Linked DNA regions of Callithrix jacchus. Each later gene encodes a partner of the first gene's protein in a complex. Links are inferred from orthologs where the notes say so. Each region holds a gene or a part of one and is shown in the gene's direction. Other genes may lie near its edges.

The links.
Region 2: RBBP7 (region 1) and CHD4 share a complex: the UniProt entries of both Homo sapiens proteins name them as parts of the nucleosome remodeling and deacetylase (NuRD) repressor complex. The link is inferred for Callithrix jacchus from reciprocal best matches to the Homo sapiens genes RBBP7 and CHD4.
Region 3: RBBP7 (region 1) and CHD5 share a complex: the UniProt entries of both Homo sapiens proteins name them as parts of the nucleosome remodeling and deacetylase (NuRD) repressor complex. The link is inferred for Callithrix jacchus from reciprocal best matches to the Homo sapiens genes RBBP7 and CHD5.
Region 4: RBBP7 (region 1) and CDK2AP2 share a complex: the UniProt entries of both Homo sapiens proteins name them as parts of the nucleosome remodeling and deacetylase (NuRD) repressor complex. The link is inferred for Callithrix jacchus from reciprocal best matches to the Homo sapiens genes RBBP7 and CDK2AP2.
Region 5: RBBP7 (region 1) and EZH2 share a complex: the UniProt entries of both Homo sapiens proteins name them as parts of the PRC2/EED-EZH2 complex. The link is inferred for Callithrix jacchus from reciprocal best matches to the Homo sapiens genes RBBP7 and EZH2.
Region 6: RBBP7 (region 1) and HAT1 share a complex: the UniProt entries of both Homo sapiens proteins name them as parts of the type B histone acetyltransferase (HAT) complex. The link is inferred for Callithrix jacchus from reciprocal best matches to the Homo sapiens genes RBBP7 and HAT1.
Region 7: RBBP7 (region 1) and BPTF share a complex: the UniProt entries of both Homo sapiens proteins name them as parts of the BPFT-SMARCA1 complex. The link is inferred for Callithrix jacchus from reciprocal best matches to the Homo sapiens genes RBBP7 and BPTF.

The regions. Positions count from the first base shown.
Region 1 is NC_133524.1:17,115,702-17,119,201, reverse strand, and holds part of RBBP7 (histone-binding protein RBBP7), read left to right. Parts: intron 1-533; coding exon 534-707; intron 708-1,702; coding exon 1,703-1,818; intron 1,819-3,500. UniProt on the Homo sapiens protein: Core histone-binding subunit that may target chromatin remodeling factors, histone acetyltransferases and histone deacetylases to their histone substrates in a manner that is regulated by nucleosomal DNA.
Region 2 is NC_133510.1:20,794,844-20,798,962, reverse strand, and holds the start of CHD4 (chromodomain-helicase-DNA-binding protein 4), read left to right. Parts: upstream 1-1,319; 5' UTR 1,320-1,430; exon of another isoform or gene 1,431-2,192; intron 2,193-2,281; 5' UTR 2,282-2,359; coding exon 2,360-2,459; intron 2,460-4,119. UniProt on the Homo sapiens protein: ATP-dependent chromatin-remodeling factor that binds and distorts nucleosomal DNA. Acts as a component of the histone deacetylase NuRD complex which participates in the remodeling of chromatin.
Region 3 is NC_133508.1:44,024,462-44,027,961, reverse strand, and holds part of CHD5 (chromodomain-helicase-DNA-binding protein 5), read left to right. Parts: intron 1-599; coding exon 600-724; intron 725-1,837; coding exon 1,838-2,069; intron 2,070-2,295; coding exon 2,296-2,406; intron 2,407-2,678; coding exon 2,679-2,851; intron 2,852-3,500. UniProt on the Homo sapiens protein: ATP-dependent chromatin-remodeling factor that binds DNA through histones and regulates gene transcription. May specifically recognize and bind trimethylated 'Lys-27' (H3K27me3) and non-methylated 'Lys-4' of histone H3.
Region 4 is NC_133511.1:124,584,843-124,588,439, reverse strand, and holds CDK2AP2 (cyclin-dependent kinase 2-associated protein 2), read left to right. Parts: upstream 1-1,411; 5' UTR 1,412-1,491; coding exon 1,492-1,573; exon of another isoform or gene 1,574-1,715; intron 1,716-1,884; coding exon 1,885-1,982; intron 1,983-2,076; coding exon 2,077-2,209; intron 2,210-2,572; coding exon 2,573-2,640; 3' UTR 2,641-3,097; downstream 3,098-3,597. UniProt on the Homo sapiens protein: Acts as a component of the histone deacetylase NuRD complex which participates in the remodeling of chromatin.
Region 5 is NC_133512.1:98,835,246-98,839,460, forward strand, and holds the start of EZH2 (histone-lysine N-methyltransferase EZH2), read left to right. Parts: upstream 1-1,415; 5' UTR 1,416-1,523; coding exon 1,524-1,597; intron 1,598-4,215. UniProt on the Homo sapiens protein: Polycomb group (PcG) protein. Catalytic subunit of the PRC2/EED-EZH2 complex, which methylates 'Lys-9' (H3K9me) and 'Lys-27' (H3K27me) of histone H3, leading to transcriptional repression of the affected target gene.
Region 6 is NC_133507.1:57,562,135-57,565,634, reverse strand, and holds part of HAT1 (histone acetyltransferase type B catalytic subunit), read left to right. Parts: intron 1-2,555; coding exon 2,556-2,735; intron 2,736-3,003; coding exon 3,004-3,125; intron 3,126-3,500. UniProt on the Homo sapiens protein: Histone acetyltransferase that plays a role in different biological processes including cell cycle progression, glucose metabolism, histone production or DNA damage repair. Coordinates histone production and acetylation via H4 promoter binding.
Region 7 is NC_133506.1:90,441,276-90,445,278, reverse strand, and holds the start of BPTF (nucleosome-remodeling factor subunit BPTF), read left to right. Parts: upstream 1-1,203; 5' UTR 1,204-1,427; coding exon 1,428-2,052; intron 2,053-4,003. UniProt on the Homo sapiens protein: Regulatory subunit of the ATP-dependent NURF-1 and NURF-5 ISWI chromatin remodeling complexes, which form ordered nucleosome arrays on chromatin and facilitate access to DNA during DNA-templated processes such as DNA replication, transcription, and repair.

The DNA.
Region 1 (3,500 bases):
GCAGGGCCAACATATGTGTGTTTAGGGATGGGTAGGGGTTAGCATGGGTTTTTTTATTAATTTACGGATGCTCCTGACTTTAGACTCATAGAATGTTCATACTCCTAAGGGTAAAACCTTTCCTGTTTTGTTGAATCCTAAAATAAGATGCTAATTCAGTGCAGCGCTTCCAAATGAGTTATATTTGAACTAAAAAACTGTTGGTCTGCTTATTATATGGTTCTTTGAAATCTCAGTGAATATATCATCTTCATAACTGAAAGAGGACAGTTGTTTTAGATCCAAGGTGGAACCGAATTAAGTTGCATAAGGCAGCTACCAATATTTTTCAATGAAAATGGGAATAAATTGATGTGGCAAATGAGCTCACATTTTTTTGATTTTTCTCTCTCTATGTATGTCTCTGTCTTTGCCTTGTCAATTTGTGTTGTATTCTGCCAGGTCAAAATCTGTTAGGTTGATTAAAATAAGTGATTTGTGAATTTTAATCCTGATTGTGTGTGTGTGTGTTTATTTCTTTCTCCTCACATTAGAATTTGGTGGCTTTGGTTCTGTAACAGGAAAAATTGAATGTGAAATTAAAATCAATCATGAAGGAGAAGTAAACCGTGCTCGTTACATGCCGCAGAATCCTCACATCATTGCGACAAAAACACCATCTTCTGATGTGTTGGTTTTTGACTATACAAAGCACCCTGCTAAACCAGGTATGTGGTAAAGTCAGGCCATTGCTTGAGCAGTTTTCTTGATTCAAACTGGTAATGTTTTTAAGGTCAAAGTAGCATACTTTATAATGTTTAAAGATTTAAAAGTTGCTTTGGAGGGTCCCATAATCATCCTCAAGTTAAGGAATTTGCCAGAACTGCCTAAAAGCAGTTTATACTCAGAGCTAAAATTTATTACAGCAAAGGATTCAGAGCAAAAGTAGGAGGAAAAAGATACACATCAGGGGGAGTCCAAAGAGGTTAGCTACAGGTGTGTGGGTCCTTCCCATCTAGGGCCACATAGGACATGCTTTGTCTCTAGCAGCAAACCACAGGGACATTTGCTAAATGTTTCTATCGAGGGCAGCCCATTTAAGTTTCAGAATCGGGGGTTTTTGTGGAGGTCTGTTTGCGTGGGCGCATCCTGTTCTTTGACTAGCCATGATAACAAAAGTGAGGCCTCCAACAGTGAAGCCAAATGCATTGTGAATCTTGCTAAACAATTCTACAAGTCTTAACAAGTCCCTGTGACATACCCCACTGCTCTGGGCTTACACAACTTTATCAGTCAGTGACGCGAAGGACTTTCTGAGGGTCACATTCCCAGAGGTTGTCCAAGGGTCACTTATGAATCAGGATACCCTAGAGGCATGCAAGGAGTGAGCAACCAGACCTGCTGTATTAGAAATACTTCTAAAAATTGGGAGGTGGGGGATGGGTTACCACTTCCCAGATTTGTGGGATAGCTATAGTTTTCAGTGTTTTTGTGTTGAGGGTAGTAGGTTTTCCAAAGAAACCAATCATTTAATGGTTCTGAGGCTCAATTTGTGTTGGATATTAAAAACAAAGCCAAGAGAACAGCTTTTTAAAGTGGTTATGGGTCAGACCAGATCTTGTTCATGTGCAGTTGCTGTAATGGCTCACTCAATGAAGGAGTGAGAATTTATTCTCACAATTTCTGATAAACAGAGAATAACTTAATATTTTTCTTTTCTTAGACCCAAGTGGAGAATGTAATCCTGATCTCAGGTTAAGAGGTCACCAGAAGGAAGGCTATGGTCTCTCCTGGAATTCGAATCTGAGTGGACATCTCCTAAGTGCATCTGATGACCATGTGAGAAACGTATTCTTTGTAATCTGTTCATATAGTGGGAGCTAAAGTATCACAGCTGTACTGAAGGAATACTATATAGATGAAAGGCTTTCTAAGATAATACTGCTGATTATTGTGATAACATTTCCCTGGGACTTAGAGAGATGGTTTTCATACTGCCCTATATGAGTCTTCAGATTCCACAGAGCTCTTTTGAATTAGCCTTAGAACGGAGGGAGCATAGGCAAAAGGCCTTCCATTATTTAAAAGAGGACCCTCCAGGCCCTTATAATGGAAACTGTAGAGTGTTTGTGGGGCCTGATTGATATAAAGTATTTTTAATTGTACAATTCAGTGGCTTTTAGCATATTCACAAAGGTGCACAACTATTGCCACTAATTCTAGAATATTTTCATTCACTCTCGAAAAGAAATTCTATACCCATTAAGCAGTGACTCCCCACTCATTCCCTGCTATCCCCTAGCTCCTAAGCACTACTTTATTTTCCATCTCCATAGAGTTATCTATTCTTGATATTTCATGTAAATGGAATCACATATGCAGCCTTTCTGTTTGGCTTCTTTCACTTAGCATAATGTTTTTTTGTTGTTGTTTTTTTTTTTTTTTGAGACAGAGTTTCGCTCTTGTTACCCAGGCTGGAGTGCAATGGCACGATCTCGGCTCACCACAACCTCCGCCTCCTGGGTTCAGGCAATTCTCCTGCCTCAGCCTCCTGAGTAGCTGGGATTACAGGCACATGCCACCGTGCCCAGCTAATTTTTGTATTTTTAGTAGAGACGGGGTTTCACCATGTTGACCAGGATGGTTTCGATCTTTTGACCTCGTCATCCACCCGCCTTGGCCTCCCAAAGTGCTGGGAATACAGGCGTGGGCCACTGCGCCCAGCCAGCATAATGTTTTCAAGTAACATTTCTTATGTTCCATTCCTTTTTATGGCTTAACAATATTCCATTGTATGGATATACCACAGTTTACTTATTCATTTATCAGTCGAACCATTTGAGTTCTTTCTACTTTTGGGCTATTTTGAATTATGTTATGAACATTTGTGTACAAGTTTTCGTGTGGATGTATGTTTTCATTTCTCTTGGATACATACCTAGGAGTGGAATTACTGGGCCATATGGTATCTCTGTTTAACTTTTTGAACAACTATCAAACTGTTTTCCAAAGTGGCTTTCCATATTACATTTCCACAAGCAATGTACAAATGTTCCGGTTTCTCTACATCCTCACTAGTGCTTGTCTTTTTTTTTTATTATAGCTATCCTAGTGTGTGTAAAGTGGTATCTGCTGGGTTTCTTTGTTGTTGTTTTTTGGGGGGGGGTGGGGGAGGGGTTTTGTTTTGTTTTGAGACAGTCTGGCTGTGTTGCCCAGGAGCGCAGTGGCACAATCTCAGCTTACTGCAGCCTCCACCTTCTGGGTTCAAGTGATTCTCCTTCCTAAGCCTCCCAAGTAGCTGGGATTACAGGCATGTGCCACCAGGCCCAGCTAATTTTTGTATTTTTAATAGAGACAGGGTTTCACTATGTTGGCCATGTTGGTCTTGAACTGCTGGGCTCAAAAGATCCTCCTGCCTTGGCCTCCCAAAGTGCTGAGATTGACAGGCATGAGTCAGCACACATGGCTCATTGTGGTTTTAATTTGCATTTCCCTAATGACTAATGATGATGAGCATATAT
Region 2 (4,119 bases), on another chromosome or scaffold:
TACCTGGATTTTGGTGGGATTGGGTGAGGCCTTAGGTGGGCTCCTGGCCCCTGAGTGTCTGGAAATGATGGTATGAGGGAAGCTGGGCTCCAGACATCAGGAGGCTTTTTGCCAGGATACTGCTTTGGCCCAGAAAAGGATTAAGGTGTGTGTGCAAGTGGGGGCGGGGACAGGGAAGCGTGGGTAGCCTGCCTGGCCCTCCCTGCTCGAGGTGTTAGAATAGACTGACAGCGCCTGGAGATGGGGGTGGGAAGAATATGAATATTATGGGATGCCTGGCTTCAAGGGTATAGGGATGGTGGAGTGGAGATGAAGCATTATGGGATGTGACACTGGGTTGTGTTGGGAGTATTATGGTATGTTTGGTTGACCACGGGCGCCTTGCAATTATTATGGGATGTCAGGATGTGGGTAGGAGAGTAAAATTATTATGGGATAGCTTTCCAGTGTTAGAGGAAAAGAGATTAGATGTCTGTCCATCTGTAGGGCGACAGTAGGGCAGTTGATCATTATGGGTTATCTTTTTGATAGAGGGGTACTTATCATAGACTGTGGAACCAGGAGAGGGAAGGCTGGGGGTGTTGTGAGCCTCTAGACCCTAGCCTGCAGGGACTGAGGGCAGCCCCAGGGGGTTAGTTATTATGGGATGTCAGTATAGAAAGTGGGAGACTGATTATTACTGGATGTGTGTGGGAGGAGGCCGAGTGTCCGTTGTTGTAGTATGGGGGGGGGTGAGTTTCTGACTATTATGGGATATCAAACTGGGGGTGGATGGAGGGTGGTTATTATGGGATGTCTGTGGGGGATGGGGATGAGTATTATGGGATATAAGGCATAAGTGCCGGGAGGGCTGCTTATTATGGGATGGCCATGGGGAGGGAGGGGTGATGAATTATTATGGGATGTTAGCATTAGGGCCAAGAGTGAAGAAGTTGGCAAAGGATGGCTATTATGGGATATCTAAGAGGGTTAGTTGCAAAAGGTCTGCAATATCATCAGATGTCAGTAGCCCCTGGCATATATGTGTATGAAATGTGGGGGGGGCGGGGTGTGTGTTTTGTGTATGTGGGGGGAGTGTCCGTGTGTATTATGGGATGGCCAAGAGGTGGGCGGTTGCCCAGGTGACACGCGCGCGCGCGCTCGAAGGGGCGTGGCCAATGGTTGCCTGAGCGACGAGGGGGCGGGGGTTGCCCGGGAGACCTGGGGAGGAGGGTGGCGGTAGTGGGGGGGGGTTGGAGTTGGTTGAGGTTATTATGGGCTGTCCGTGGGGGGGCGGGGCCTGTGCGGTGGGATTTCCCGGCCGGTGTTTCAGGCCCTTTAAGAGGCGACGCCGGAGCCGGAGCCATTTTCCCCCCTTCGGCCGCGGCGAGGAGGAGTCGGAGCGGGAGTGACACCAGGCCGGACCCAGCGCAACCTGCGGCGGCTCCGGGGTGAGGAGAGCGCGGGGTTCCCAAAAAGACGCCCCTCACGGCCGGACCAGCCCGGAGGGTCATCCCGTCACCCGCCCCTTCGTCAAGCGTCCCCCGACCCGCGGACCGCCCCTTGCCCGGAGAAGCCTACCCTTCCTTTCCTGGCCCTGCAGGGCGCCCGGCCTCCTCCCAGCCCCCGCCCTAACCCTGCCAGAGTCTTGCTCCCCGCGACCCTCCGCCTCTGGCTTGGTCTCCCACAATGCCCGGCGCCCGCCCCCTCGCCCTTTGATCACTTGCCCCCCGGGACACACGTGGCCCGGCCCCCTTCCCGGTGGGACGCTCTCGTCCCCCGCGTCCCTGCCTCCGGCCCCCCGCAGTGCCAGAGCCTCCACGCCCCCTCGTCCCCGCACCTCTTGAGGAGAACCTGAGTTGTCCCAGAGGACAGCCTTTGGAGAGCTGCCCTGTCTGGGGACTGGCCCCTCCCCGGGCGCAGGGAGGCGCCCCCCCACCCCCAAGTGACCTTGTGTCCCCGAGCGCCTTGTTGCCTGCCGCCTCCCCTGGCCCGCCCCCCCCCCGCGCCGCTACCACTCGGACCCCCTCCCCCGTCACACCCCGCTCGGTCCAGCGTCTTCCCTCCCCGCGCCTGCACCAGCCTGCCCTCGGAGGCGTCGCTCCCTCGCTCCGTGGGGGCGCCTGCCGGGGAGCCGGCTTCCGGGCTGCCCCCGAGGAGTGTGGAACTAAGTTCAGCCTGAGCGGTTCGGGTGCCCTGCTAGGGTGGCTGAGGTGGGGGGCGGAAAGAGCGGGTGGGTGTGGGGGAAGGGGACAGTGCGCGTCACTGACTGTTCTCTCTTTCTCCCCCCTCCCCCGCACAGTGACTCGGGCCAGTGTAGAGGGCCCCAGGCCGCCGGCAGGAGCAGCTGGGCCAATTCCCTGGCCGGGAGCGGAAGGGGATGGCGTCGGGCCTGGGCTCCCCGTCCCCCTGCTCGGCGGGCAGTGAGGAGGAGGATATGGATGCACTTTTGAACAACAGCCTGCCCCCACCCCACCCAGGTAACATCTTCCCCAAGGGCCCTGGGTGGGAAGGAGGCATTTGGACTCTCCCGAGTGACTTCTCTGGGGAGGCAGGGCTGTGTTGCTCGGCTGTCTCTGTGCAGAGCCGAAGGTGGAGGGCATCCGAAGGGAGTGGTTCCCTTCTGCGGAGCTCTGGTGTGAGGGGGGTGGAAGCCATGTGCCTCCTGGGCACCGCGGACGGAGATGCCAGCTTGCTGCACTCTGTCTTGAGGAATGCTCTGCAGTTCCCAGTTGAGGGAGCTCTCTGGGCTGGCACGCATTACCTTGTGTGTGGGTCCTCGGAGGAATGCAGGTAGTTGGGACCCCTGGAGGCTTGTGGTAGTGGTGGTGGTGGAGGGGGACGTTGAGGATTCTGAGAAGACCAGCCGGGCATCTGTGCTAGTAGAATCTTGTGGTTGCCTCTGTGGAAAGGAAAGAGGGAGTGCTGGTTACGCTCTATCTGATTATTTTTAGCTTCTGATCAGTTACCGGTTTTCTGTGCTGTCTCAACTGTGTGAAGTTTGAATCGCGCTCCTCAGCATGATCTAGAGCGCTTTTAGCCAGGCAGATTGCTGGAATGTTTTGAGTGGGGAAGTGATGGGGGCTTGGAGAGGATGTAATAGCCTAGTGAGGAGAGGCAAAAGAAGGGAGGGCACCCCTCTTCACCTGGCTAGTGGACATAATTCTGGCTTGTTTCCTAGCAGCTTCTGCCTCTGTGAGGTAGCCCGGGGTTTAGGCTGGCAGTGTGAAGTGCCTTGTGTAGGTGTGCTAGAGGTTGCACTATCTGTGTTTTGGGGTGGCTCCGTGAACTGGCCAAACCCGTATGGTTATAACCACCCTGGCTGATTGGGGGAGCCCTTGTCTATTCTCAAATGATGATTGATCTCGCGTTCCTAAGCAGATCTCTTTCTTTTCTGTCTTTCTTCAGAGCCCCTAGCTAAGTCACCTACTTGTTTCCTTGACCTTCATTTTTTCTAGGTTCATTTTTTTTCCTACATGCCACTGCTTCATCACTTCTGCTTCTACTTTTCTTCTCATTCTGGAGCCTGCTGATTCTGTTTTTGTTTCTCATCCAGCGTTCTTCACTCTGCTCTCTTCTTAGCTCCAGTGGAAGTTGCGGTGGTCTGGGAGAGATGCTCTCAAATTTTGCACTTTTTAAGTTGGAAGTCTTTACTTCAACCTGAGGCCATTTAGGAGAGGGGTTAGTCTTGTCATGGAGTCTTCAACTGTTGGGATGAGAAACTTGGTTTCATCCTTGTGTAGGGTAGAGAGGCAGATTTCTGTGCTCTTGCCCAAGGTGAGAGCAGGGTGGTGGTGGTGGTAAGGGGACCCTGTCCTTCTAAGAGGGGCATGAGAAACTGTAGTGCTGCCTAGACATTGTGGGTTCCACATCTTGGCCTCCTATTGGCCCATTGGTCTGGGGCTGCCCTTCATGTTGACTGGGAGCTATGCAGGAGCTGTGAACTCTGTCCTGGGCTGTAGTGTGACCCACTTTTTCCACTTGCCACACCCCATTCCTGTCCCTTTCCCAAATCTTTATCTCAGTCATTTTGCTGTTTGCCGTTTCAGCATATTATTTGCCTGAGAAGTTTGGGGGCTGTATGTGCATGGAAGGATGTCCGCTTTGCCTCCATGGGTTATCTTTGTCTCTACTTCCAGC
Region 3 (3,500 bases), on another chromosome or scaffold:
GCCACCCTGATGGCATCGATGGGCTAAGGGAAGCTGGGGGTGGGGAGCTGGGGGGACATGGAGGACTGAGCTCTCTGGAGGCTCTGCCTGTACTTGCTGGCTGCTTGCACTTCTTTTATTTATTTTTTTTTTTGAGACAGAGTTTCACTCTTGTGAATGGAGTGATCTCGGCTATGCCCAGCTAATTTTACATTTTTAGTAGAGACAGGGTTTCTCCATGTTGGTTAAGCTGGCCTCGAACTCCCAACCTCAGGTCATCCGCCTGCCTCAGCCTCCCAAAATGCTGGGATTACAGGAATGAGGCACTGTGCCCGGCCAAACAACCACTTTGTTTTTTGCTCATCTGGGATTTGAAAATTGACCTCCTCTTCATTCTAGCACTCTCCCATTGGGCCAGGGCTCAGAGCACCGCTGGGGACTAAGCGGCCTTGAGCGGGCTTCCTCTGGTTCCCCTGAGTGCAGCTGTGGCCTCTCATCTCTGATGAGGTCTCTGGCTTTGTAATTCTCTGCCAGCGACCTGTTGCTGTAGTTCCTTCCCTCTGTTCTCACCCCCAAAGGTGAACTCCCTCAAACATCCCATCTGCTGGCCTCTTTTTCAGCCCCCGGGGCCCAGCAGTTCTGCTTCCTCCTCTCAACCCGGGCAGGTGGCCTGGGTATCAACCTGGCCACGGCGGACACTGTCATCATCTACGACTCGGACTGGAACCCACACAATGACATTCAGGTCTGTGTCACTGCTGCCACCCTCCCAGGGCCCTCTTACCCTGGGCTTCGGGCAGGTTCTCCTGTCCTTCATGCCTTCCTGGACATGACCTCCACACCTCCCCTGGTGCTGTGGGCCTCCCTCCCTCATGGAGTCTTGGCCCCATGAGGGGCCCTGGGAATGAATGGAAGCTTGGGCCCCATCCCTCCAGCTCTGTCCTCGTCCAGAGGAGAAAACAGTCTTGGAGAGGGCAGGGGAAGTGTCCAAGGGCACACCGCAGTTCATGGTGGCCACTGATTCTGGTCTTTCCCATCACCCTCAGGACCAAGGCCATGGAGGGAGGCAGGATGAGGGAGTCCTGGGACCCAGAGGGGCATATATTTTGGAGGGGATGGGGAGCATAGAGTGGGCCTGTCAGAGGTGGGGGGAGGATGAGATGGTGCAAGGGGCAGATGGGGTTGACAAGGAAGGATGGGAGGGATGTGGGGGGCGGGGCTATGGGAATAGAGCTACCCTGACAGCCCTGGCCACCCCACTCGGGGGCTGGGACACACACATCAAACTCTTACACATGTAGGGGAACACATAAAAAGTGATGTCTCTCATTCATGTTTGTGCGCCCGTGGACACACACACATATGCATGGTCACATCCAGATCACCTCATGCAGGGCTGCAGAGTCTGGCACTTCCCTGTATTATACTGGGCAGATGCAGCTCCTTGCTGCCCTCGGAAGGTGGCTGCACATCTCCAGCACATGGTCTTGTGGTTCCATTAGTGGCTCGATCACAGGGAAATGCAGCCCCCTACCTCCCCAGGGCCCCCATGAAGCTCTGTGTGATGTCAGTTACACCTAGCACACTGGCTGTGTCATCCCTCACACACTGTTGCACACCTGCAGTCCTGGCTGCTTCCACTGGGAGCTTTTCCACTCCCAACCCAGCCCAGCACCCTGGCTCGTGGGAGGCTTCGCAGTCTGGGAGGGAGCCCAGCTGCAGTGGTGCAAGCCTGCACCACATGCCTCTCCCTACCCAGTCATGCAGCCCATTCCATGCTCTTGAGCTCATGGGTGTGACCCCCTCCATTGCCTGGAGCCTGGGTGAGCCATGGGTGCTGAGCTGCAGGTCTCCCCAGGCCTTCAGCCGTGCCCACCGAATTGGGCAGAACAAGAAGGTGATGATCTACCGCTTCGTGACTCGGGCCTCAGTGGAGGAGCGCATCACGCAGGTAGCCAAGCGCAAGATGATGCTCACCCACCTGGTGGTGCGGCCTGGCCTCGGCTCCAAGTCGGGCTCCATGACTAAGCAGGAGCTGGACGACATCCTCAAGTTCGGCACGGAGGAGCTCTTCAAGGATGACGTGGAGGGTGGGCCTCTGTCCCGAGGGAGTGTGGTGGGGCCTGGGGTCATGCTGCTGAGGCACCCATCCAGGGCTTGATGGGGTCCCTGCCCATTCCAACACTCTTCCTCTCTCTTGCACCCCCACTGGTGTCTCCTGGCCAGGGCAGCCCAGGGTGGTGTCTCTGGGCACTGCCCGCCAATCCTGCAGCCCTCTGTGCTCCTGCACCAGCGCCCTCCTCCTCTGCCCAATAGGCATGATGTCTCAGGGCCAGAGGCCGGTCACACCCATCCCTGATGTCCAGTCTTCCAAAGGGGGAAACTTGGCTGCCAGTGCAAAGAAGAAGCATGGTAGCACCCCACCAGGTAGGGGCCAACCCAGCCCAACCCCAGCTCCTCCTCCAACCAGGAGGCTGCTCCTGGAGAGGGGTTCCCCGACACACCCTCACTTGGGTGTCTTGGGACTGCTGGGTGGGCGGGGAATGGGGCTGTTACAGCGTGATTTCCTCTTTCGGGTCAACAGGCCCCTCAGCTGCAGCCCCTGGGATGGGAAGGGCCATTGTTGGGAGCCTGTTCCCAGGTCCCCAGGATGGACCAGGGCAGTCTTTGTCCCCACACTGCACTTGCCTTCTCCCCAGGTGACAACAAGGATGTGGAGGACAGCAGTGTGATCCACTATGACGATGCGGCCATCTCCAAGCTGCTGGACCGGAACCAGGACGCCACAGACGACACGGAACTACAGAACATGAACGAGTACCTGAGCTCCTTCAAGGTGGCGCAGTACGTGGTGCGCGAGGAGGACGGCGTGGTAAGGTCCCCGGCCCGCCCTCCAGCCGCAGCCCCGCCCTCCACCGTGACCACGCCCTCCCCTGTGATCCCGCCGTGCCGCCGCAGTCCCGCTCCTGCCTCCGCCCCGCCCTCCAGCCTCCGCCCCGCCGCAGCCTCAGCCCCGCCCTCCACGCTTTAGCTCCGCCCTCCAGCCTCAGCCCCGCCCCAGCCGCAGCCCCCCTCCACACTGTGACCCCGCCCTCCACGCTGTAACCCCGCCCTCCAGCCTCAGCCCGGCTTTCCCTGCTGTTACCAAGGCGTCCCGGCCGCCGCAACCGCGGGCTCAGCACTAGACACAACAGAGGGAAGGGACGGAGGCAGTGCTGAGGGCAGTACAGCCACATGGGCCGGCCACTGCCCTTGCACACATCTTCAGCCTCCTGCTCCCTGGCGTCGTCCTAGCTCCAATCCAGCTTCCCCACTTTCTGAAGTGCAAGCTGACCTGCCACCCCGCTGTGCAGAGCCCTGTCCCCCGGGTCCAGTGTCAGTCCCTTCCCGGCGCGGTGTGCCCTCCCGCCCCTGCCTCAAGGCCTACATGTCCGCCCTGCACCTGGACCGCTAGTGTTCCAGAACGCCCCGCACTTTTCTTTCTTTAAATAGAGTCTCGCTCTGTAGCCCAGGCTGTAGTG
Region 4 (3,597 bases), on another chromosome or scaffold:
ATGTTGGCCAGGATGGTCTCAATGTCTTGACCTCGTGATCCACCCTCCTCGGCCCACAATTCTGGGATTACAGGCGTGAGCCACCTCTCCGGGCCGAACTCCTGACCTCAATCAGCCCACCTCCACCTCCCGAAGTGCTGGGATTACAGGCGTGAGCCAACACGGGCCAGAACATGTTTGTTGGATGGATGAATGAATGAACGACTGTCCTGGAGATGAAGATCTACAAAGCTGGGACCATGAAGGTACGTAAGGCCAGAGAAGTTTGAGCTTGGGGAAGGAGCCTGGGAGAAAGGGTTAGTGAGTGGATGAGGGTTTGAAGTCTTAAGTTTGTGGGGAGTGAGATTTGAGGGGAGGCGTCTGAGTGGTGGAATGGAAAGGTATGGGGGCCCTGGAGTGGGACAGGAAGGCGGGGAATGAAACAACAAGCACTTTATGACATTCACTTAATCCACACAACAACCCAATGAGATCGTCATTTTCCCCATTTTACGGATGGGAAAACTGAGGCATACTGAGGCGAGACACTTGCCTGGGGGAAATCGCCAGTGGGGGTGGTGCTGAGATTCAAACCCAGGCGGTTGGCTCCAGACCGTGCTCTTGATCAGTTTGGTACCGGCCCGCCACACAGTAATCTCGCAGGTTTGCCCTACGGCCATTGACACCAGCTGAGGCGGCGGCGCGGGGCCTTGGGGGTGCGGGCAAAGGGGTCTTTGAGGTCGCCCTTGGACCTGACGACCAGCCAAGCCACAGGAAGAGCTGCGCGTGGCGGCACTGAAGTAGGGCCTGTTGCCATGGGAACAAACGCAGGCCTCGGGCGGACGCATGCGCAGATCGGGGAGAGGGTGTTGAACCGGTGAAAGGTGACGTAAAAGCGCACGGGGTGGGGCGCGGGGCTCGGGACGTCAAAGCTCTGCGTCCTTCGGCCCCAGGAGCGGATAGGGACGCACAGCGGCGGCGACAGAAGCGACGGCAGCGGCGACAGCAACCCCTGCTGGGCCGAAACTGGGCAGAGCAGAGCCGACGTCTGAAGCAGCGCGAGTGAAGCGCGAGGGTAGCGCCCGCGTCCGGGAAGACCCCTCGGCGCGAACCGGCGGCCCAGCCCGGGGTCCGGGGCCTCGAGGCCCCGCCTCTAAGGCCTGGGGACTAATCGGATTGAGAGCGCGCCGGCCCGGGCGGCGAACTCGCCAATTGCAGAGGGCGGCAGCCACCGCCCAATCCGGAGCAGACAGGTGCGAGGTCCGGAAGGCGGAGACCAATCGGTGGCGGTTGCGACCTGCTGGGGCAGGTCTCGTCCAATAAGGAGGCTCGAGTGACATCTTCAGGCGCCAATCGGGAGTGAGGGAGCATTCGAGCCCGCTCGCCCTTCCGGCCAGACCTCTATTTACCAGAGGCGTGCAGCCCGCTTGCCAATCAGAGCGCGGCTGAGCGGCCCGGCGGCCAACCCCCGAGGAGCGGCTGGCTGGCGTCCGCCGCGCCCAGGAGTTGGGGATGTCCTACAAACCCATCGCCCCCGCCCCCAGCAGCACCCCTGGCTCCAGCACCCCTGGGCCGGGCACCCCGGTCCCTACAGGTGAGGATCCAGCTCCACCCCTGCTCGCCTGCCGGGCGGTCGAGGTCTCGAAGAGAAGACGGCCTGAGTTCTGCAATACTGGGCCTGCCGCCTACCCCTCGCTGAGCCTCAGTTTGCTGGCCTGTGAAATGGGCGTGGTCATGTAAGGGCTTGTAGGTGGAGCTCAGGGGGAGGGATTTGTCCCTGAAGTTAATCAGCATGGAATGAAGCATCCTTTGGAGGGAATCGGGCGAACGCGGTCCTGGGCTTGGAAAAGCAGGGAGGCGCGTCCCTGCCCAGCGCTGACCTCTTACTCGCGCCTGTTGCTGCAGGAAGCGTGCCGTCGCCGTCGGGCTCAGTGCCAGGAGCCGCCGCCCCTTTCAGACCGCTGTTTAACGACTTTGGACCGCCTTCCATGGGCTATGTGCAGGTGAGTGGGGCCAAAGCCTTGCTTATGGATGGGGACTGGAGTTTCCTTCCCTGCCAGGTGCCTGAGCTCACTGCCCTGTTCTCTTTTGACATAGGCGATGAAGCCACCCGGCGCCCAGGGCTCCCAGAGCACCTACACGGACCTGCTGTCCGTCATAGAGGAGATGGGCAAAGAGATCCGGCCCACCTATGCTGGCAGCAAGAGTGCCATGGAGCGCCTGAAGAGAGGTAAGTGAGGCCAGGCCGCCCTGCCCTGCCCTGCTCCCCTGCTCAGGAAGCCGACACTGCACTATCCTTCATTAGGGAAGTAAGGACATCTGGAGGCCACCCGAGCGACGCCTAGACTAGGGCCAGTATTACTATGCAGAGAGGTATTTTGAATTGAAATTGAGTCCGTTTCCAGGGAAGAGCCTGGGAATTTGTATTTCAACAGGGCCACCTTGAGGATTAGCCAAACCTCTAATCTCATCTCGCCATTATTAGATTTGAATTTCTCTTGCCGAAAGGAAAGGGAGTGGGGAGGCAGTGGTGGTCCTCTGGAGGGCGGAGGTGGGGCTATGGAGGGTTGCTGAGACCCCACCCTACCCCCAGGTATCATCCATGCCCGGGCCCTAGTCAGAGAGTGCCTGGCAGAGACAGAGCGGAACGCCCGCACGTAACAGGAAGCCTCTCGGCCTCAGCGTCTGGACCTTTCCCGGCCACTGCAGAGCACCCGCTTCTCCCTGGCCATCATCCCGAGTTGCACTAACCATCCTGGGCTTCCTGTCCTGTGTCCTTTGGTGGGTGCCCTCCAGGAACCAAAGGGTGGCTCTCACTCCAGGTGGCAGCACTAAGAACGACCCCCCCCACAACAAGAGTTTAGCAGCGAGGTCCCTGTGAGTCGCGCCCATGACCTGCCGACAGTGTTGCCCACCGGAACTTTCTGTGGCCCCCACTGCTCAGCCCCTCCCAGCACTTCTCCCACTTCGTCCCGAGCCTCCCTCTCTCCCAGCAGGGGCTCAGGCCTGGCACCTGCTTGCCTTGTGTCCTGGGCCATAGTGACTCTTTTCTCTGTGTGTCTTTTGCTAAATATGCCCTTTTTATATTAATAAAAGATGATTTGGAGTTGTGCTGTCAGCTCTGAGCCTTTCTGGGTCTGGTTCTTCAGTTAAGCCTGGGTGGGCCAGGCAGAGAAGGAAGAGGAGACTAGGGGTGGGGAGGGTGTGACTGAATGGGGTTTGACTTGCCTCTGTGGGCCACAGGCCTCCTGTGGGACCCAGGCCCTCTCCTGCCCCAGCCCTGGTGCTGAGAGCCCTGGGCCTTCCTGTGGTGCCACCAGGGGGCAGAGCAGGGCCTGGCTGCTTCCACAGCCCTTTGCGCTGTGGGCAGCCTGGGCCTGGAGGGCACTTCCTCTGGATTGGCAGTGATGCCTGGCAGCGTGGAAATGCCAGTTCACGTAAGCCACTCCCTTACACTCCCTAATGCCCTGACAACACCCCAGCCTCTGAATCAGCCCTGAAGGTCTCTGACACCGCAGAGAGAATGCACACTGCTGCTTCCAGCACTGGCCTCAGAGTCAAGCAGAGAGGCTGGCGGGTGCTGCCGTCACCGCCGCAGCACCTGTAGCAGGCTGGGCG
Region 5 (4,215 bases), on another chromosome or scaffold:
GGGCTGGCTCGGCGCCTTCGAGCTCGGCGGGCCCTGTGATTGGACGGGTGCCCGCCTCGCGTCCCGCCAATCGGGGCGGCGCTTGATTGGGCTGGGGGGGCCAAATAAAAGCGATGGCGATTGGGCTGTCGCGTTTGGCGCTCGGTCCGGTCGCGTCGGACACCCTGTGGGACACAGAAGGCAGTGGAGCCCCGGCGGCGACGGCGGCGGCAGCGGCGGCGGCGCGCGAGAGCGACGCGCGGGAACGACGCGAGCCGGCGCGCGGGAAGAAGGTAACGCGCCCCAGCGGGCGGCCCGGCCGGCAGGGCTCCGGGAGTGCTAACCGGGCGGCGGCGGCGGCGCCAAGACTTCCCAGCCGCCGCTGTGCCGGTCCGGGGTATCGCCAGAGCGGGGCTCACAGGGGCGCCGCGTTTGTAGGCGTGCGGGGCTTGGAGGGTGAGGGGAAACCCCCCCGGAAGGAGCTGTGAGCTTCGGGCTGGCCCGCGGGACCCCGCGAGTGGGGGGCAGCGCGGACCCCCAGAGCTGCGGGGGTGGGGGGGCGTGCGGGGGGCTCCTTTCCCGGTGCTTGCCCTGACCGGGGCGCCAGGGCTGGGGTCGGGGCGTTCCGGTACCCAGTCCAGGGTGGCAGCTCGAGCTTTAAGTCTCCTTTGTGTGGCGCGGCCGCGGCGGGAGCGCCCGGGTGGGACGGGACAGACACAAGTTAGTGGGACCCAGCAGCCGAGCCGGCACTCAGACAAAGGACGGACTGTGTCTCCAGAGGGCTCGGCGCGAGGGAAGGGGCATGACACCCCGGCCCGCCGGCGGGCGGGAGAGGGGCGTGGGGAGGCGCGGGCCGCGGCCAGGGTGGGCAGGGCTCGGCCCCCGCCTGGCGCACGCCCCCGGCCCCGGGCGCGCCGACCCCCGGCTGGGGCTGCGGCGGCTGCGGGACGGCTTTCGCGGTGGGGAACTCGGAGTAGCTTCGCCTCGGTTTTTTCCCCAGAACGCAGCCCGAAACCCCCTTAGCTCCGGCGGTCGCGGGCTGCCCTCGCCGCCTGGTCTGGCTTTATGCTAAGTTTGAGGGAAGAGTCGAGCTGCTCTGCTGTCTCTTGATTGTGTTTTTGGAATGTTTCCTGTTGAATTGCCACTTCATTGTGTACATCGCCTTCCACTGCCCCCAGAAATCTGTACCACAGGGTTACTTTTTGAAAGCGGGAGGAATCGAGAAGCATGATCTTTTGGAAAACTCGGTGAACGCTTAATGAGTTCCCACTTTCTAAAGAATCGTAATCCTTAAAAAAAATTACAAGCTGTTTTGGCCAACTTGTGTGATACATCTGAGAATGGCGACAGGTGCTAACGAAATCAACTGCCATTCAGCCAACGATTATTCCCCAAATCCCAATGGGTTGAATGAGTATGAGGAGGTGGAAGTAGGTGATAGAATACCTATGACAAATGTGCATTTGGATTATATGGTTAGCAGTTTCTTATTAATTGTTCTTGTTTTCTGTGAACAATAGCTTTGGTGATTCAGAAAAGACTGGATGCAGAAATGTTTGTTGCCTAAGAAATTTAACGTGTGCTGTCCGCAGTTCAACTTCCTTTGTTTATCACTCAGGTTCTGTAAAATTTAAATTCATTTGGAAATAAAAATGTGTCTTTGCTATTTACTTAAAGGCTTGTTTTTTATGTTTCAAGCAAGTCATTATTTTGTGGCCTTTTGATGTCACATAAAATAACATTTGATAAACCTTTGAAAAACACGAATGTTGTCGTAGTTGAATGTAGCCTATAATTCTAGAGGTTTTGGAGTTTATTTTCTATTAACTCTTCATAAGCATTAGCAACTAATTCATATTTAGGAATATGGATCAAGTGTGTAATCCTAACTTGTTGATTTGTAATTTTATTTGCAATAAAACAAAAGTATTTAAGATGTATTTTAGTTTCCTATTTATGGTCTCTAAAGTTAGGAATAGTTAGGATTCTAGTCATAGATATAAAGCATCTTGTTTTCTCTTTTTGGAGGTGTGCTGGATTATGTAATATTTGAGGTTTCCCGGAAACAGGGAAATAGCATCTTAAATTCTCATTTTTGTGGAAGGTGAATATATTCCAAGAAAAGAAGTTAGAAAAACATAGGCGTTCTTTTGGTTCCACCGTCCTATCTGATAAAGATCTAATGTACATCTACTTACTTATGGTTTCACAAAAATGGAGGCAAATGCAGTAGAAATTTATTACATATATTTTGGAGAGTGTTGACACCCCTATACAGGCATTCTAGGTGCTCGTCTAAGTGTTGAGACATAACCAAAAAGTAATGTTTATGTTAGCTACTAATAATTCTGTGTTTAAAAAATCCTAACACTCCTGTCCCTTATGAGATGAGCTAGTTATGAAGATTTTTGGCAGAGATTCAGATATTTTAGGATAATTTTTTTTTTCTTTTTTGAGACAGAGCCTTGCTCTGTTGTCCAGGCTGGAGTGCAGTGACCCGATCTGTGTTCACTGCAGTCTCTGCCTTCTGGGTTTAAGATGTTTGCCTGCCAGCCTCTGGAGTAGCTGGGACTACAGGCATGTGCCACCATGCCCAGCTGATTTTTATATTTTTAGCAGAGAGGGAGTTTCGCCATGTTGGCCAGGCTGGTCTCAAACTCCTGACCTCAAGTGATGTGCCTGCCTCAGACTCCCAGAGTGCTGGGATTCCAGATGGGAGCTACCACGTGTGGTCTAGGATAAAAATTTCTAACTTTTGCCCTTGCATATTCTGTATTTGATAATTACTATTCTTTGTACTTGCCTTGAGATATTTTGAAAAACATCTCTTTGGGTAATTGATTTAAAAATTCATTTTAAATTATTTTCTGGTACAACTTGAGAATGTATTTAGTCAGTTTAAGTAGCAGTGATTTAAAAAAAAAAAACACACTGTTAGTCTAGTGTAGTTAGAAAAAGTTCTGATACTTTGTTACCTAGCTTTACCTTGCACATATACATATAAGTGAATATCTTTATGTTAGCATTTAAAATTTTTAGGCAAATTTCTTCAAGTCATACTGGAATTTTCCCAGGATATCTTTCTTCATTTGAGGTAGCATGCTTAAGGAGTGTGAATTTATTTCAGTATTACCATTTACATGAACAATGATTGAGAAAATTGATCTCTTTAGAAACCAGCAAGAAGAAATCCTCCAATATAATATATTCTGCAATTAATTAGAAATTATTTATGGATTAGCCTTGAAGTCTTTATGTCAGTATAAATGACAAATTTTCTGTAATCCTGATAGATTCTATATGGGTAGGTGAAACCTTTTAGGTAGAGCATAAGTGAAGAGCAGAAATTCATTAAATTCAGAGAAAGGTTCATGGTCAGATGATACTTTACCCTCTGGAGGTCTTCCCTGAATTCCCACTCTTGTGTTCCCACAGGGCTTGGATCATATTTTATTGTAGCATGACTCAATTATATTGTAATCACTTGTTTATGCATCCCTCTCTTCCCTACAGTCAAAGTGCCTCCCTGAGGCTCTTTCTTTTTTTTTTTTTTTTTTTTTAAGTATACCTAGCACCTACATTGGTAGTCGCTAGAGAATAGAGGTTTTAAATATGGTTAAATGAATTAAGGAAATATGAAAAATGTAGGGAAATAATTTGACAAAGGAATTTGCAAAGTGAACAGGATGTATTTATATTCATGTGAGCAGCTTTGAAAGGTGTTTTTCTCCCACTTTAAGAGGGAATGATTACAGAGAAAACTAGTTGTCAAGGTGAACAAGTTCCAAGTTTTTCCTAGTTATTTACTTCTGAAAACTAGGTATCTTTTAGGTGCAACTATTACACTCAGGCAACTGGAAAGAACTTTATGAATCATCTGGATACTTAGTATCTACTTAATTTGATTAAATGTTGATATTGATGATCCCTTTACAAAAATAAAAGGAAGGGAAAGGGTGAGAGGGTAGTAGATCTTTTAATTGAAAAGTCATTTTGTTATAATTCATGAGTTCTTTATTGGAGTAAATTGAGGTAGGTTTTGGGGCTAAAACGGAAGGATGTAGTGACCATGTAATTGGATTGTTTATTGGGATGCTCCCCATCATTCTTTTAAAATGATTTAAATATGGATTAGCAAATTCAATGATACCTCAACAGTTATAGCTGGTAAATTTCTAAGATGGCTGTACCATTCCATATCTTGCCACTGTTCCACTACTTGGTATAAAAGTAGGA
Region 6 (3,500 bases), on another chromosome or scaffold:
TGGAGTTTTCGCTTGTTACCCAGGCTGGAGTACAATGGTGCGATCTCAGCTCGCCGCAACCTCCGCCTCCTGGGTTCAGGCAATTCTCCTGCCTCAGCCTCCTGAGTAGCTGGGATTACAGGCACGTATTATGCCCAGCTAATTTTTTGTATATTTAGTAGAGACGGGGTTTCATCATGTTGACCTGGATGGTCTCGATCTCTTGACCTCGTGATCCACCCGCCTCAGCCTCCCAAAGTGCTGGGATTACAGGATTTTTTTGTCTTAAAGCAGAATCCATTTAATAGAGAAATAAAGACATTTTCCCTTTAGTGAAGCAAAGTTCTAAATTCTAGGTTGAAGAGCTATTTGGTTTTAAGTTGTATATTTTATGTAAGAATATCAGATACAAATTTATATATGTACATAAATACTTATAAATATATGTATATAAATATATAAAGATTCCTTGCTTTAAAATTGCCCCTTTTCCCTGAAAAACATTCTGAATGTGTAAACTTATACAAAGCAAAATATTTTATTTGAAGATATGTATTACAGTAAATAGGTGTCCGTTGAAGGCTGAAAACTAAACTTTAACTTTTTTTCAACTTTGTCAGGCTCAGACCTTTGGGTTGCTCTGCCCTCTGCCAAAAGTGCTATTTGAAACTTAGAGTTTCTGAGAAATCTTTGAAGTAGATTTGATACAAGATGTGTAAAGTGATTTGCAATACCTTGTTGAAAGACAGGACATAAGGGAAGTTTTTAAGTTAAAATTATGCATGCTATGAAAATCTTAAAATGATTTTTAAACTGATGGATTATAAATTTCTTTATTTAAAAGTAGTTTTTCTTGACTTTTTAAAAACCTGAACTAACATTATACTATACTGCTTTACTCATCACTGCTTTGGATTTTAATTGCTACACAACACACCTATTACAACCGTCCCTTGTTATGACAGTTTCCTTAGTAGTTGTTGAAATTGTACTGATTCTGTAAAATATGCTTAAGATGACCTCGTCACATTAGCTAGCAATTTCAAGGGAAAATATTTATCAAATAGTACTTTAAAAATAAGCAAAAACAGTTCTATGAAATGCAGTTTATTTGATCTAGAGTGTGAATGAGTTGCAAGGACTGATGTACATATTAGAAATAAACTGTTGAGCAAATTGCTGAAGAGGTATATTTTAAATAATAGCTCTTTTTTATAGCTATAAACAAATTATATATAAATGTTGGTGGTACCAGAGCATTGAAAATAAAACTTGTTTGTGATAAACTTCATTCCTGGTTCTCTATCCTAAAATGTAACTGAATCATAATAAAGTGCTATTCATCTGCAGGTGCATTGCTTCTACTTAGTTAAAAGATGGTTGAAAGGACAGGAATTAGTAGCATGTTGTATTAGCCTTTTGTAGTGTATTTTGTCCTAAGCATCTTAATTTCCCTGTTTTGAATGCTAAGTAGCAAGGGTCTTGGTTTAGAACTAATACCCATCATGCATGTAAACGGTATGAAAGAGCTGCTTAGTAAGTTAACACAAAGTGTTCTTGTGTCAGTCCTTGTGGAAATAGATACAATACAAACATTACAGCTGAACTCACGGCAAACTCCATTAAGTAAAAACCTGGCCTCATTGTTCAGAAAAAAGTTTGAATAGAATACAGGCTCATTTTGTTGAATGTAATGTCGGGCTTTTAGGGACTGTATTGAAGGATACGGTTTTGTTAAGTTGAGACCAATTCATTAAGTTTTATTGCCTGGTGAGAAGCAGCAATACTTTATTGTAAGACTTCATCAAATATTCATGGTTAAAGAGAAGTAGTAAATGTATTCAATCAAGTGGTCTTTTGGGATTTTGAAAAGGATTATGAAGTCTGCTCAGCTGATAATGTTGATCGAGGTTGTTTAACAAGGGTAATTTTAATCTCTGAGTTTAGTTTTGTTGTCCAGTCTTGACTCTTTTTTACTGTCACAAATCCAGGTCTATAAGAATTGTATCACATTCTAAGGATGAAAGAATAATATCCATTCATATAATATATGTTATTTTCTAAGTAGGTATATTTTTAAATTATCATCTTAGTTTGAGTTTGGCATATGAGGGAATTGTGACCCATCTACTTGTTCATTGTGAGATTGCTATTTGGTCAGACTCTAGCCTCTACTGCTGGTGATCTTTTCATTTCTTGGATAATATGATTTCTTTGACACATAAGATAATAAGCAACCTTTTTCCTTGGCCAGTTCAGATTGTCATAAAGGGATATAGTCAGCATTTTCTACATAACGGAAACGTCAATAGCATCGCCTTTGTTATTGTACTTGGTATCAGGCTACCTGCCCACCTGCCTTCTCTTAGTTTTACGTTATGCTCATCTCAGTTTTGTGTGATGCTAGTTTGTGCACAGGAAGCTCATCCTTTTCTAGTTCGGTGTGTGTTTGCTTCTTTAGTTTTCAACCAGAGTTTTCTAATTTGTGTTGGTTTTGTCAATTTTAAAGAAATTAACCATATTCAAAAGTAGAATTTGTTATTAATTTTTTATATCCTTTATCCTCCGTTCTTTAGGCAGATGATGTTGAGGGCAAAATTAGACAAATCATTCCACCTGGATTTTGTACAAACACGAATGATTTTCTTTCTTTACTGGAAAAGGAAGTTGATTTCAAGCCATTTGGAACCTTACTTCATACCTACTCAGTTCTCAGTCCAACAGGAGGAGAAAACTTTACCTTTCAGATATATAAGGTAAAGATAAATCTAAATATTTCTTGAGTAAAGTTATTCTATTTGTCTGAAACCGGTATGTAGTTTTGTTATTTTCAATGATTTATTCTAACTGCAGTAAACAAGTTTTATCAGCATTATAAACACAGATCTATTTTGTGTGTGTGTCTGTGTCCACATCTTAATCTGAGACTTCTAAACATTTTCCCACAGGATAATTTAGTGTTCAGCAGACTTTCACTTACCTTTGTGATGAGTTTCACCTGACTTTTCCTGGCTTTTTCCCTAGGCTGACATGACATGTAGAGGCTTTCGAGAATATCATGAAAGGCTTCAGACCTTTTTGATGTGGTTTATTGAAACTGCTAGCTTTATTGACGTGGATGATGAAAGATGGCACTACTTTCTAGTGTAAGTACAGTTCTAAAGCAACAGTAGACCTTATTACCTCCACAAAGCCAGCATTTTAATTGTGGCAGCCCAATTATTGGGACAGTATAATGATATTTTTCCCAGGAAAGAAAAACTATTGTTTATGAGGCTTGAGTTTTCCTTCATTATGCTTTGGGAGACCTTGAGAATAGAGCTGAATTAAATGCTGTTGTCCGTTAGGGCCCTGAATGTAGGCTTAAACAGTAAAATGAGCTTTGCCTGTGTTTTCTTTTACTTGCCACCTATTCATCTTTATAATAGGCAAGTGCACTGAAGTGATGTAAAGAGGTCTGATTTATCCAAGTTGCTGCACACCAATTAAGTGAATTGTACATTCAGAACATAGCAGGTGTA
Region 7 (4,003 bases), on another chromosome or scaffold:
GGCTCCAGCGATCCCCCCCATCTCAGCCTCTCATGTAGCTGGGACCACAGGTGCACACCACCATGCCCGGCTAATTTTTCAATTTTTTTCTAGAGACGAGGTCCTGATATGTTGCCCAGGGTTGTCTCGAACTGCTGACCGCAAGCTATCCTCCGGCCTCCGTCTCTCAAAGGGCTGGGATTGCAGGTATGAGTTTCCGAGCCAGGCCAACTATTTTTCTTTAAATTACTTTTTGGTTGTCACTTATCTCAAATATTCATATAAGTTTATAAAACCTCTTATCTGAAGAGCTGCCCTCAACCACTCACGGTTGAGTCCCTGTGATAAGGTTTGAGGGTGCCTGAAATGTCATCATGATTCGTCCCCTGGGCTAAGCTGAAACTTAGTGACTTGTCAGATAAATAAATCAAGGTTATTTCCCGATAATACAAACATAACACCGTGAAGTAGGTTTTTAGGCAGGATTTCGTTTTACACTGCAGAGGAGAGGGAAGTTCCTGCTGAGGTGGTAGCGGTCCTAGCTGGGGCACTGGGAGGGTGGCGGGAGACTGGAACGTGCAGTAGTTGCGTTCTGGAGTTTCCTGAGGCTTTCCGAGTGGGGGTTCCACGGAATAGGCCTTAAAGTGCCCCTCCCTCCGGGCGTGGCTCCTGGCACAGCGTGGAGCAGTTGTCATTCGAGTCAATTTCAGGACTCCAGCTCCCAGGTAAGGAGTTTCCTAAATTCTAGGAATTTCCCTTCGTCGGTGGCGCTGCCCAGTGTCCTCGGTCGTTCGGCCGCCCCGCTCCTATACCTTTTTTTCTTTTTCTCTGGCTCTTTCAGCATCAGTTTCCCTAGGGGGCCGGGAGGGGAATGATATTTGGGGGCTCTCCTGCCTTTCTCTCCGAGCCGCGGAAGGGGAGACGCGGGGAGGAGGTCCGGCAGGCTTTGGCCTCCAGCCAGGGGTCCGCGGAGACTATGGTCTCCGAAGGCCTTTGACACAGGGGCATTTCGCGAGCTGCGCACCCGTCTCTGCCGCGCCACCCGCGCCCGAAGTCCAGCTGCGCCTAGCTGCGCCGAACCCAGAAGCCCCGTGCTCCCCGCCCCCGACTCGGCGCTCCCGCGCTCCCCCTAGCGGCCGCTGCGCCGCCTCGCTCCGTCCAGGCTCGTCGGCGGCGCAGCTCACGTGACCGCGCTCCGGGCCTGCGGCCGCTGTCGGTTCCCCCAGTCACCGAGCGAGAGGGAAGAAACAAGATGGCGGCTGAAGGCGATCCGGAGTGGGGCCCCAGCAATTCGGATTGAGCCTTCTCCCTCCACCCGCTTCCGCCGGCTGGGCCCCTCCCGCCCGGCCCCGCGGGCTTCCCCACCCGGCCCCGGCGCTCCCCACCGCCCCCCCTGCGCCCGCCCCTCCCCCTCCGCTTTCCCTTCTCCCCCCCGCCTCGGCTCCGACATGAGGGGCCGGCGGGGCAGGCCGCCCAAGCAGCCCGCGGCTCCCGCTGCGGAGCGCTGCGCCCCGGCCCCGCCGCCGCCGCCGCCGCCGCCGCCGCCGCCCACGTCCGGACCCATCGGGGGGCTCCGCTCGCGGCACCGCGGCAGTAGTCGGGGCAGGTGGGCCGCCGCCCAGGCTGAGGTGGCGCCCAAGACGCGGCTGAGCTCGCCCAGGGGGGGCAGCAGTAGCCGGAGGAAGCCGCAGCCGCCGCCGGCCCCCCCCAGCACCAGCGCCCCGGGCCGGGGGGGGCGAGGAGGCGGGGGAGGCAGGACGGGGGGCGGGGGCGGCGGCGGCCACCTGGCCCGGACCACCGCGGCCCGGAGGGCCGTCAACAAAGTGGTGTACGATGACCACGAGAGCGAGGAGGAGGAGGAAGAGGAGGACATGGTCTCCGAGGAGGAGGAGGAGGAGGAGGAGGACGGCGACGCCGAGGAGACCCAAGATTCTGAGGACGACGAGGAGGATGAGATGGAGGAGGACGACGATGACTCCGATTATCCGGAGGAGATGGAAGACGACGACGACGACGCCAGTTACTGCACGGAAAGCAGCTTCAGGAGCCATAGTACCTACAGCAGCACTCCAGGTACCCACCCAGCCCAGTTGCTGCAGACTCCTTCCCCACCTCCTCTGCCCTCCCCCCTTCCTCACTCGTGTGCTGTGCATCCTGCTCCGATCTCCCCCCAACCCCGCCTTCCCCCCAAACAGAGGGGAAATGCGACGGCACATCAAGTGGCAAAAAACTAGATTTACAAGAGGAAAGAGGCGCATTGTTCAAAATGGAGATTGCATTGTTGCAGTTTGCAGGCCACACTCGCTTGCTCTCTCTCCCCCCAACCCCCTCTTTTTCCTCTTCAAAATTTGTGCCAGTGCGATGTCTCCACCGGGCAGGATTGAAACTTTGGCAGACACGTATCCATTGCATTCATTTTTCTTCCCTTGTTTTGGTGTGGTTTTCTGGAATGAAAGAAGCCTCTTGTTTTGCAAACCTCTTTGCATTTCTAATATGGTTTCTTTCAGATTTTTATTATATATCTGTTACTTAAAAGGGAATTAAGGATTTGGGCAGATTGTGGCACACAAACACACACAAAAACATGCCTGTTTTCACACCCCTAGCTGTGGTTTTAAAATTGTGTTAAGGAAATGGATCATTTGGGTTAGTAGGGGAACTTTATCTGGTCCTGCGTGTTTGTTTTTATTCTTCGAGTGCCAATGGGCTCATGCAACAGTTGCTGGTAAATGGCTGATGAAAAAGCAAAATAGAAAGCCAAACAAGACCCAACCAAATTTGGTAATTCATCCGATTCAAAATTGTTTTGGTTAAGTCAAAAATAAAAGTACAAAACCGCAGGAACGCTTGTCTTAACTCATTTGATCGCTTTGCCTGGCTTGGGAAATGCAGTTTCGTGTCACCTGTTGCACAAGATGTGTAGTTGATCCTCTAGACATAATTGCCGAAGATGAACTTTTTTCTAAGTCATGTAGCATCAGTATCAGATTTATTACACGACGACTTTTTCTTTTCACTCTATTTCTGAGGAAAAAGCCCTCACAGAAATCCGTAATGAATTTCTCCATGGTAACCCCTCTTCTGTTTTCTCACAAAAAGTTTCTCCAGGCTGGTGCTGAGATGCATTTTGTTAAAAACCCCTCACCCTCTTCCAAAAGACTGCTTTGTATTAAATAGGTAGTTGAAATTTACTAAATTGTGAAATTAACATAACCAAAGCAACAACTGGCAAGACTTTTCCTTTATAATTTTGCAAATCTAGATTAATTAAATTAGAATCTGGTTTTAAAAGCATTTGAAAAATAAAGTTTATGAGGAAATATTTGTGAGGAAAAAGGACCTTTTTTCCTTGAATTAAGGTGTGTCATGTCTTTCTCAGAGAGACTCGGATAGTAGAAGTGGTTAAATTGAGAAGTTTCTGTTTTTTATAAATGCTTACTTATTGGAGAAGTAGAGTAGTATTATATTAAGCCAAATGTAAACCCACATGAGTTGTCCTAACAAAGTGAAAAAAGGTAATTTATTTTGCCTGATGGTCAGAATGGTTGCCTGGCTTGTGAGGGTTGGGGGGGACTATGTGGAGAATGAAGGGAATGAATCAAGTGTCAGGTATTTATGTCTTAGATGTAGAAAGGACTACAGGTAAATTCTTGCCAACTTAATTTTAGCTCATCTTTTTGTTTTTGAGACGGAGTCTTGCTCTGTCGCCCAGGCTGGAGTGCAATGGCACGATCATGGCTCCCTGCAACCTCCACCTCCTGGGCTCAAGCGATTCTCCTGTCAGCCTCTTGAGCAGCCGGGATTACGGGTACCTGCCAGCATGCCTGGCTAATTTTTGTATTTTTAGTAGAGATGGGGTTTCACCGTGTTGGCCAGCCTGATGTCAAACTCCTGACCTCGTGATCTGCCCACCTTGGCCTCCCAAAGTGCTAGGATTACAGGTGTGAACCACCGTGCCTGGCCTAGTACACCTTTTATGGTAATAATTTTTACCTTGAGAAATCACTTGTTGGTCTTCATTATA